Linked DNA regions of Macaca fascicularis. The protein of the gene in region 3 interacts with the protein of the main gene of each other region in a pairwise test. Links are inferred from orthologs where the notes say so. Each region holds a gene or a part of one and is shown on either strand. Other genes may lie near its edges.

What was found.
Region 1: the proteins of C14H11orf68 (region 3) and REL interact in binary tests that used the Homo sapiens proteins (3 or more experiments, as listed by UniProt). The two-hybrid records come from large-scale screens. The link is inferred for Macaca fascicularis from reciprocal best matches to the Homo sapiens genes C11orf68 and REL.
Region 2: the proteins of C14H11orf68 (region 3) and EIF4H interact in binary tests that used the Homo sapiens proteins (3 or more experiments, as listed by UniProt). The two-hybrid records come from large-scale screens. The link is inferred for Macaca fascicularis from reciprocal best matches to the Homo sapiens genes C11orf68 and EIF4H.

What each region holds. Positions count from the first base shown.
Region 1 is NC_088387.1:61,083,278-61,087,026, forward strand, and holds the start of REL (proto-oncogene c-Rel), read right to left. Parts: upstream 2,222-3,749; 5' UTR 2,128-2,221; coding exon 2,037-2,127; intron 1-2,036. UniProt on the Homo sapiens protein: Proto-oncogene that may play a role in differentiation and lymphopoiesis.
Region 2 is NC_088377.1:53,056,371-53,060,119, reverse strand, and holds the start of EIF4H (eukaryotic translation initiation factor 4H), read right to left. Parts: upstream 2,820-3,749; 5' UTR 2,794-2,819; coding exon 2,735-2,793; intron 1-2,734. UniProt on the Homo sapiens protein: Stimulates the RNA helicase activity of EIF4A in the translation initiation complex. Binds weakly mRNA.
Region 3 is NC_088388.1:8,480,411-8,484,012, forward strand, and holds C14H11orf68 (UPF0696 protein C11orf68 homolog), read left to right. Parts: upstream 1-794; 5' UTR 795-819; coding exon 820-938; intron 939-1,628; coding exon 1,629-2,388; 3' UTR 2,389-3,037; downstream 3,038-3,602. Other genes in the region: DRAP1 (dr1-associated corepressor), read right to left, coding at 1-69, 307-348.

The DNA.
Region 1 (3,749 bases), on a different chromosome or scaffold from region 3:
ATTTTGTGGAAATAAGAGCGGAAGAGTCAGGAACGCCCAACTGTGTCAGTGGAAAAAGAGCGGTTAATGAAGCAAAAGAGTGGGGGAAATAAAGAGGAAAAAGTTAGGTATTCTAGGGAAAGGGGAACAATGTGTCCACAGAGGAGGGTTTATTTAAGAATCACCAATGTTTGTAAGTGGAATACACTTCCTCTCTTAGAAAGAGAACTAAAAGTCAGAGCACACTTGGCAATGTGGATTTCATTTTATGTGTGATGAAATCAATGAATAATTTGATGCAGGCAAATCACATGATCATATTTACGTTTTAGAGTAAAAATTTTAAGCGGGGCACAGTGGCTCACGCCTGTAATCCCAGCACTTTGGGAGGCCGAGGCGGGTAGATCACGAGGTCAGGAGATCGAGACCATCCTGGCTAACACGGTGAAACCCCGTCTCTACTAAACATATAAAAAAAATTAGCCGGGCGTGGTGGTGGACGCCTGTAGTCCCAGCTACTCAGGAGGCTGAGGCAGGAGAATGGCGTGAACCCGGGAGGCAGAGGTTGCAGTCAGCCGAGATCGGCCACTGCACTCCAGCCTGGGCAACAGAGCGAGACTCTGTCTCAAAAAAAAAAAAAAATTTTTGGTCACAGCAGACAGAAAAAAGAAAGCAACGTGATCAGTTTAGAGACCACTATAATAATGTGGGCAATGATGACAGTATGTCTGATATATGGCAGTGATAAAAGGAATGAAAGATTATTTAAAAGATAAAATTGACAGCACCTGGTGCCTGAACATTAGGGTTAAGAGAAATTAAAAAATCACTGATGGCTCAGAAATTAAAGAATCATTGATGGTTCCATGGCTTCTACTTTGGGTTACTGAATAAAGTATTACCATTACTTTCAATTTTATTCTGTATGGTGCAAACTCTCTGTGCTTGAATCTACTACCTATTTGTTTATTCAAAAGATGAAGAGTCAGAGAAAACTGACTTTAACCCATACATAATCCTTATTTCAGTTTTACTCAAAAACATAAGATATGCAGATGAGTATTTCACAATTTTATCCTTGCATATTTCAAATATTTCAAATTCATACTGCAATTTCAAATTTTTTTTTTTTTTTTTTTTTGAGACTTAGTCTCGCTCTGTCATCCAGGCTGGAGTGCAGTGGCGTGATATCGCCTCACTGCAAGCTCCACCTCCCATGTTCACGCCATTCTCCTGCCTCAGCCTCCCGAGTAGCTGGGACTACAGGCGCCCGCCACCACGCCAGCTATACCTGGCTAGTTTTTTGTATTTTTAGTAGAGACAGGGTTTCACCGTGGTCTCGATCTCCTGACCTCGTAATCCGCCCACTTCGGCCTCCCAAAGTGCTGGGATTACAGATGTGAGCCACTGCGCCTGGCCGCAATTTCAAATATTTCATACCCTTATATATCCTTGTAGGAGTATTTAAGAAAGAGTATATTTTCCTCTTAAAAACTGTTAAAATCAACATTATTTTTTAAGTGACATTTTAAATAATTTATGTGGCTGAAGTAAAAGCCAAATAAATCCCCGCCCACTACTTATTTAAAGGTGTCTTGGTGGGAAACTGATATAAAATGACATCGTTGGCCGGCACGGTGGCTCAAGCCTGTAATCCCAGCACTTTGGGAGGCCGAGACAGGCGGATCACGAGGTCAGGAGATCGAGACCATCCTGGCTAACACAGTGAAACCCCGTCTCTACTAAAAAAAATACAAAAAACTAGCCGGGCGAGGTGGTGGGCGCCTGTAGTCCCAGCTACTTGGGAGGCTGAGGCAGGAGAATGGCGTAAACCCGGGAGGCGGAGCTTGCAGTGACCTGAGATCCGGCCACTGCACTCCAGCCTGGGCAACAGAGCGAGACTCCATCTCAACAACAAAAAATAATAATAATAAAATAAAATAAAATGACATCGTTAATAAGTGTTTAACTTTGGGAGGGGAAGAGTATGAATTAAAATTCTAGGTTCATAGTGAGCATTCAAGTATTTAACTGAGGCTGGGCATGGTGGCTCATACCTGTAAACCCAGCACTTTGGGAGGCCAAGGTGGGTGGATCACTTGAGGTCGGGAGTTCCAGACCAGCCTGGTCAACGTGGTGAAACACCATCTCTACTAAAAATACAAAAAATTAGCTGGATGTGGTGGCAGGCACATGTAATCCCAGCTACTTAGGAGACTGAGGCAGTAGAATTGCTTGAATCCAAGAGGCAGAGGCTGCAGTGAGCCAAGATTGCACGATTGTACTCTAGCCTGGGTGACAGAGCGAGACTCCATCTCAAAAAAACCAAAACCAAAACCAAAAACAAAACAAAACTTCATTGGTTACAAGACACTTCTTTAGATTGTTTATTAAAATGTCTATTAAAAGAACAGAAAAGTAGTTGTTGAAAAGATTAAATAAAATATTTTTAAATAGTAAAAATTATATAAATATTGGTTATCATATAATATTGAGTATTTAAAATCCTTGGAATTTATTTTTCTTATTGCAGAAGCTCTTAATTGGTAAAAATTAACAAGCTGGGGGAATGTAGAGTATTACAACCAAGTAACAGAGTATATTGTAATGCTCTACATTCCCCCAGCTGGAAATAATCTCCCCTCCTTTAAACTACCATAGTATTCTGTTTATAGTAATTATTCCAAATAACTGTAATTTAGGGAAAATTACATCTTACCATCTTATTAAACTTACCATCTTATTTAATTAAAATTAAACTTACCATCTTATTTCTTCTTGAGATAAAGCTACTTGTTTTATTTCTTCAAGCTACTTGAAGGCAGAAATTGTGTTTTACTCATCAGTGCCTTGTATACAGATATTCATTAAACACCTATTGAATGAATGACTAAAATATCTTAAGGTATTTTGTTTATACAAGTTACTCAAACGTTAAATAATCATGTATGTGATTAGTCAGATTTTTTAATTAGATTCCACTACCAAGGGAAAAAAAAAAATAGTGCTTTGTAGGTACCAGGATTGCTACACCTCAGCATTTCCTCATACTCATTCATATTTCGATTTATCTGTGTTTATGATTTTTAAAAAACTTCCCAGCTATAAATCATTTATATAATGCATCAGTACAATGCACCAGTTATTTCCTTCCTCAGTACTGTGCTTTGCGCAGTGCCATTCTTCCTGAATATAAAATGTGCTGAAAAGTAGTCATCTATGGAGTGGAAGAGGGTAAAATATAAATCAGGAAATTGTAGGGAAAATAAGTACTCTTAATTAAGATAACCTCAAATCGCCACAGTTTTGAAAAGCACAAAAACGTCTCCAAAGTTGGCTCTAAACAAGTTGATTACTGTATTTTTCTTTAAGCAATACTATGCAAAGTTGGGACTGACCCCTATATTCTGAAGAGTATTTTAAAAGGCTAATATACATCAGAATAATATCTGAAATACAGTCAAAATGTTTGTAAGATATATTTATGTTTTTATTTGCACTTAGGCAAGAAAGAGTGCTATTTTAAAACATAGTGCCTATTTAATAAAGTATGAGTTTTTAAGATAAAAAATTACATTGCAATAAATGTTTAAATGGATCATAAATTATCAGAAATAGACACATTAACTAACATCTTATTGCTAGAATGAGCAACCAGCATCAAGTATATAGAACAAAAAGTTAATTATTGTAATTACAACACTTTTGAAAGACCCTTTTATATACATTTCTCATTTGATCCTCTTAACTTTAATCTCCATTTGAAAAAC
Region 2 (3,749 bases), on a different chromosome or scaffold from region 3:
GCAACATCGTGAAACCCATCTCTATTTAAAAAAGAATTTTTAACTCCCTAACTGAATCTTGATAAAGAATAAATTTGGAGTTTTGTCAGTTTTTAGATGGCACCATTTCAGCCACCTCAATTCTTGCCACCTCCAAGTTCCACCCTAATTCTCAGGATTGGTGGTTTTCCACTAAGTACCCATAGCTTTGTTGCAATTAGAAATGTAAAATCAGTATTACTCTGCACTTTACTGCCAATGGCAAATGAGAAACTGGAACCTCACAAAGATAATCTAGCAAACTGCAAAACAAAGTCCATTCAAGATCTGGTACAATCAACTCTTGATCATTTGGAATTCTGTTTTGATTTGCTTGCTGAACAATGCAATCCCTGATTCTCTCCCTGGCTGCTGGGGACATGCCTTTATAGGCTCGGTGGAAAAAAGCAGTGGTTCAATACTGTTTCCTGACAACTGCACTGGTTATTAAACACAACTACAAAATAAACTCACAAGGATGTATAATTACCAAACTATGTTTTAAGATTGTAACTGTTTTTAGATTTCAGGCCTACCATTTCTTTCACCTGTGACCCAAGTGATTTAGGGGTGAGATATATTAGCCTGTCTGAGGCATTTTAGACAAGGGAGAAGGTGCCTACACAAGTACCAAACAAAGCAGTATTAAAATTGCTTTCCATAGGTGGCAATCTTCTATGATGCTTAAGCACTGTAAAGCAGTGACATCTGTTCATGTGGACAAAATTATAATAGCTGAGGCCGGGCGAGGTGGCTCACGCCGGTAATCCCAGCACTTTGGGAGGCTGAGGCAGGAGAATCGCTTGAACTCAGGAGGCAGAGGTTGCAGTGATCCAAGATCGCACCATTGCACTCCAGTTTGGGCAACAAGAGCGAAACTCCATCTTCAAAAAGAAAACAACAACAACAACAAAAAACCACAAAAAACATATGTATAAATGAATACATAAATTCACCAACAGGTTTTTAAAACTACTTTTAAAAGTAGCAATATTTTACGTACTTTTACATGAATATGAAGCCAAATAGAAAATTCCAAGTAGTCAGACATAGAAGATGCTTAACAGTAAAGAGACTTTCTATTAGGAAGTTTAAATGATGCTACCTAGAAGACTCTCCTATCAGTTTTTGGAGTATACCTGGGACAAATGACTAATATTTTCATTTGCCTGTGGATATTTGAAATTAATAGCATCTTAACAGAAATTTACTTTTGATTGTTCCAGGTACTCCCCAAATGTTAAAATTTGACACCAGAAGAGCTGGCAAATGTGTCTGAAGGAATAATTTTTTTTAAAATCCCCACACTCAGTTTAACAAGGCCACCTTATTGTAGTTCCAATGCAACTAAAATTTAAATTGATCGCACTGTTTAAGAATGTTTCTGGGTACTGTTGTGAACGTTTTTTGGAACTAGAAAAAAAAAAAAAACCCTAGTTATTAAATTTCGAAGTGACTTGAGAACAAATTTGATGTCTAGAAACCTACCCCAAAGGCGATAATTTCATGTCATCCAACATTTATTTCTTTTTTTATTAGCAAATAAAATGTTCTTTGGAATGACAATAGCTCCACCTACCCCAACACACTTCCACATTACAGTATCATGAATATTAGCTACACTCCTGCACTGAAACAAGCTTTTGTTTGAGCCGTTCCCAAACCAAGGTATTAAAAGCGACCATTCTTCAACAAACAAAGATACTTCTGGACTGCACCCCAAGAGACCGAACACCTCAGTGTGTACTATTGTGGTGTTATCCTGGGAAAGTAATCCTTTCTGCAAGAAAACACAAAGCCCAAGTGTGTCCTTGACAAATAGCAAGATGTTCATAGCCTATATTCTAACGAGGCAACTTGTATTTTTTTCTTGAAGTGCAGATTCCTGGAATTAAACACCAAGAGCTGTCTATTCAAAGATGTTTCTTTTAAGCAAGGTGTTTCAAATATACATAGTTGTCCGCATTTGACAACGATCAGGACGAGACTAAATGCGGTTTCTTCTCCAGGTCAGAGCGAGAAACCAGGGAGAAATAAAATTGTGCCAAAGAGCACGTAGCACCTGTCAAGGCACTGTGACCCAAGACAGATTAACACAAAGAAGCTACGATGGATTTGTTTCCATGGTCTCCCCCCGCCCGCAGGGAGTCGTACCATCCACGGGCCAGAGCCGCCAAATCCCTGCCTCACACGTAAGGGGAAGGGAATTGCTCCTCTTGGCTTCCGACCTTCCCCAGTCGGCGGGCCTCATGGCGAAGGGGCCAGGGGCCTGCAGAGCGGGCAGACAACGGAGGGCCGCGAAAGGGGCCAGGACCGGAGCGGGACAGGCCGTGTGGCCCGCACCCCGGCGCCGCAGCTCAGCCCCGCGCCGGTCCTGCCGTAGGGGGGATGGGGCTTGAAGCGGCGCTAGTCTCCGGGCACTGGGAGCCGCCGCGGCCGAGGCAGGGCAAAAACCGACACGTTGTCGTTGGCGGGAAGCAGTGGAAGGGATCCGCCCCGCGCGCAAGACCCCGAGCACCCAGCCGCCGCCGCCCCGTCTCCGAGCGCGCCATTTCCAGGCCCCGGCCCTCCAGGCACCGCTCCTAGGCCTCCGCGGGCCCCCGGGCAGGCCCCCGCCTCCCGCCGCCCCGGCTGAGCGCAGGACTACCGCCACCTTGACGGCCCCGACTCCGCCGGTCCCGCAGCCCCCGCCGGGGCCCGCGCACGTTCGCCTCACCCTCTGCCGCCGCCGAAGCTGCTGTAGGCCCGATCGTCGTAGGTATCGAAGTCCGCCATTTGCCGTCTCCGCTCCGAGAGGAACCAGGGTGAGCGAGGAAGGACCCCGCAATATAACTCCCCCCGCCCCGCCGCCGGGGCTGTCCGCCGCGCCGCCTGATCGCAAATCCCTAGGACGCATGCACGCGCGCGCGCGCGCGCACGCACGGACGCTTGCCGCGCCGCGCCAGGCCCTGGGCCCACGGGCAGCTGCTTGCGCCGTGCGCTCTGCGGCCCACGTGGTGCGGCGGCGCCCCAGCTGGACGCCTGCCCCGCCGCCGCTGCCCATTATGTGCTGGCCCTGAGGCTGCACCCGCGGCTGCCTCCTATCCCCGCCGCGCCCCGCCCGTGCGCGCTGGCCTTCCGGGAGAGCCGGCGGGGAACTCCCTCTCCCGTTCGCCTGGAACCCTGCCTCTCGGCCTCCAGACCTGGCAGGGACCGCGGAGGCCTGTCACGCTTGGACCCGCAAGTGGTCCCCGGATGACACCCAAGTAAAGGCCGCCTCCTTCTCCAGGCAGGAGCTGGCCACACGATGAGGATGCCTCGGAAGGGGGTGCGAGGCGGTGGGATGCAGACTCGAATCCTGCCTTTCAGGGCTTACTAGCTGACTGGGTATTAGGGGGTTTTGAGAGGAGAGAGTATAGGTGGTCGATGGCTTAGCAAGAGAGACTGCACATCTCGGTTTTTTGCCTTGGAAAGTCGTTGCCTTGGAAAAAGAATCGGATACTGATGTGGATTCCATCATCTGGCAATAACAAAACATGGTTGTGCAGTGGGAATTAATTACACGGGTAAATTTCCAGGTTTGTGAGTGAGATGGTGGTAATTGTGGGTGCCACAATGTTGACAAACCTTAATTATCTAGGCACACTTTAAAAGAACCTCATAGAATTGTCTTGTAATGTGTACCTAGGTATCTTACGCTTAACCATTACTTTTTATTATTTATTTATTTGTTCGTTGTTGAGACAGGGTCT
Region 3 (3,602 bases):
GATGACAGGCACCGCCGCCGCCACCTTCCCAATCTCTTCGTCCGTCTGCATGATCTTCTTGATCCGCGCCTTCGGGTGGGGGAGCAGAGTTCAGACCCCGTCGCCTCCGTCCCCTAAAGGGGTGCCGGGGGAGGAAGGGGCATCCCCGGAGAAAGGGGGCGGAGGACGCGGACGCGGGGAGGGCACGGAGGAGGCGGGGCGTCCAGGCCCCCGAACACCGCGGCGCGCCTGCCTTTCCAGAGGGAACTGGGCCCAAGCCTCCCGGGAGCCGGGCCCACTCCCTGCCGGGCTCTGCCATGTGCTCACCGGCGGGAACCGCGCGTTGTACTTCTTCTTCTTGCTCGGCATCTCGGGGCCTCGCTCGCCGCGTCGGGTCCAGCACCGCCGCCCGCAGCCTCCCGGCTCCCGGGCCTGCTCGCTGCCCGCCCGCCTCGGTTCCCCCGGGTCCTGGTGCCGCCCGCTCCGCCCCCGCCGCTTCCCGTGGAGTCCTAGCGCCGCCGGTTAAGACGCCACTCACGGGGCCCTAGTGCCCTCCACTTGGAGCCTCCCGGGCCGTGCGCATCCCTCCCCGGTCTGTACCGCTGCTCCCGCCCGCCCCCAAGACCAGAAGAGCGAACGTTGGCCCCGCCCCCCACGGCCCGCCCCTCCCGGGGTTCCCGCGATGGCCCCGCCCCCCGAGTCAGCACCTCCCCGTCGGCCCCGCCCCTTCCCCTGCCGGCCCCGCCCCACAGCGCGGCCGCTGCGGCCGCTGAGGCTGGCGGCTCCGCCCCGTGGCTGCGCTTGTCTATAAAGTTGTTGTTGAGGTGGCACGGCGCTAAGATGGCGGCGGCGGCGGCGGCCGTGGCGGGGGTGGGGCGCGGCGGCGGTGGCACGGAGCCCCGGCAGGAGCGGAACCGGGCCCGGGGCTGGGCCGGCGTCGAACGCAGCGAAGGCCGGAGGTGACTGCGGGCGGCGGGAGGGGCAGGGCAGGGCCGGGGCGGGAGCACCGCTCGGGCCGTGGGCGTTAATGGCGGCGGGCGCGGCACGGCCGGAGCCTGGCGCTCCTGCAGGCTCTAGCAAGCCCAGGTTCGACTCCGGGCACCGCCCCATTGGCTTCGGAAAGGCCTGTGCCCTCTCTGGACCTCAGTGTCCTCGTCTTTAAGTGGGCCCGTTAACGCCTTCTCGGGAGGCCTGGCCCTACAGAGCCGGCCTTGGGAGCTGCGCGAACGTGCGCTTCTTTGCCTTCCTCTATTAAATGCCAGCGCTCCGGATACCTGCCAGGAAAAGGGGGCCTTGTCGGGGCCGGGAGGTGTAGCTGGGGCCGGTTGCTCCCACGCCTGGATTCACCCTTTGGCCCTGCCACGCACTACAGGTGACCTTGGGCAAGTCCTTTCTCTCTCAGCCTCAGTTTCCTTGTCTGTAAGTCAAGGAGAATAGTAATAACTGCAGCAACCCTTCTGGAGCGCTCACTCCTCAGGCATCTAATTTTCACAGCGGATCTACAGGACAGGAACAGTTGTTATCCCATTGTAAAGATGAGGCAACTGAGGCGCATCGACAATAACTCTTACCCAAGGCCACAGTTTAATCCAGTGCCTGGCACCTGTAGTTATTGTCTCAGACCCTGCCCTGACTCGGTTCCCTCACAGCAGGATGGAACCAGGTGAGGAGCTGGAAGAGGAGGACTCTCCAGGTGGCCGTGAGGATGGCTTCACTGCTGAGCACCTGGCTGCAGAGGCTATGGCAGCTGACATGGACCCCTGGCTAGTGTTTGATGCCCACACGACACCTGCCACTGAGCTGGATGCCTGGCTGGCCAAGTACCCACCATCCCAAGTTACCCGCTATGGGGACCCCGGTTCACCCAACTCAGAGCCTGTGGGCTGGATTGCAGTGTATGGGCAGGGCTACAGCCCCAACTCCGGGGATGTGCAGGGCCTGCAGGCAGCCTGGGAAGCTCTGCAGACCAGTGGGCGGCCCATCACACCGGGCACCCTGCGCCAGCTCGCCATCACCCACCACGTGCTCTCAGGCAAGTGGCTTATGCATCTGGCACCAGGCTTTAAGCTGGACCATGCCTGGGCTGGCATTGCCCGGGCCGTGGTTGAAGGCCGGCTTCAGGTGGCCAAGGTGAGCCCACGGGCCAAGGAGGGTGGGCGCCAGGTCATCTGTGTTTACACGGACGACTTCACGGACCGCTTGGGTGTACTGGAGGCGGATTCAGCCATCCGTGCAGCAGGTATTAAGTGCCTGCTCACCTACAAGCCTGATGTCTACACCTACCTGGGCATCTACCGGGCCAACCGCTGGCACCTCTGCCCCACTCTCTATGAGAGTCGTTTCCAGCTTGGGGGCAGTGCCCGTGGCTCCCGAGTGCTTGACCGTGCCAACAACGTGGAACTGACCTAGAGGGGCCAAACTGGGGAGACTGCCCTCTCCCCACTCCATGCTGGGGATGGATTTTCTGTCTTCCTCCTTGTCCCATGAAGGACAAGCCCCCCAACTCTGGGGACTACTAGGTCACTTGGGAACTACCTGCATCTTCAGTCCCCTTGAACTTCTGCCCTCTGTTCAGGGCTGATGCAAGCCCCACAGGCTGGGGGAATCCGGTTGTCTGAGGGATGAGCCTTCAGCCTCCCTTTGTAATGCTGCTCCTCTCCACTGCCCAGGACCGTGGGTTGGGTGCAGACACCTAAGAGGAGAGACTTCCTTGGGACGCTCATCCCCTGCTATACCTCCCCTTCCTCCTGCATCTCCCCTTCTTTCCTTCCCCCTCACAAGGGAGAAAACTTAGTACTTCCAGCCCCTCTCCTTGGAGTCTTCATGGTCTAGGGGTAGGGGCCCCACTGGCCTGAGCATGCCATTTTGGGGGGAGGGTGGTTGTGCCTACTTGTCCTTTGGCAGAGGGGATGCCAGGACCATGGACATGAGGCCTGCGCATCCCTGCCAGCTCACACAGCCTGTCCCACCATCCCCCCTTCCTTGGCTACTTTGACATGTGCCTGCTCCTGGCATTTCAATAAAACCCGGCTTGGGTCTGTGTCTTGAGTGGTTTAAATACTGTCTTGGTGGTTACCTGCTTTGGTTGCTAGGGAGAGGCAGGGCCAGGAGAGACTACCCCGTTGACCCGGCCAGGCCCCCGTAGCTGCCCCTAGCAATAAGTTGTGCCTCACTGCTGAGGCTAGGCCCTGTCTCTAAGAACCTCTGCAAAACCAGCCCCACTTCCCCTCCATCCCAAATCAGTTTCTCAGAGATTTCCCATAATTCCAGGGGTTGATCCCTCCAGGAACGTCTAAGGGGCCACTGCTAGCCCTCAAGGTACATTTGTGCATATTAGAGGAAGGTACCAAGCCCAGGCAGTCCTAGGCCAGGGTACGTGGTTTGGGGAGCAGAGGATGGGATGGGCTGGATTTCGGCACCCTAGGCTGGACATCCTTGTGCAGTGAACAACCTGCGCAACCCTAGGTAGTCTCTCTGGAAGCCCCGCCATTCATACTGTCCTCTTCTACCATCCTGACCTTCATAGGGCCCACTGGACAGTTTGCAAAGCGCTTTCATATGTATTAAATTTAAATCTCACAACCTCTTTAGGAGATGTTGGCCCCATTCTGCGGTCAAGGTAA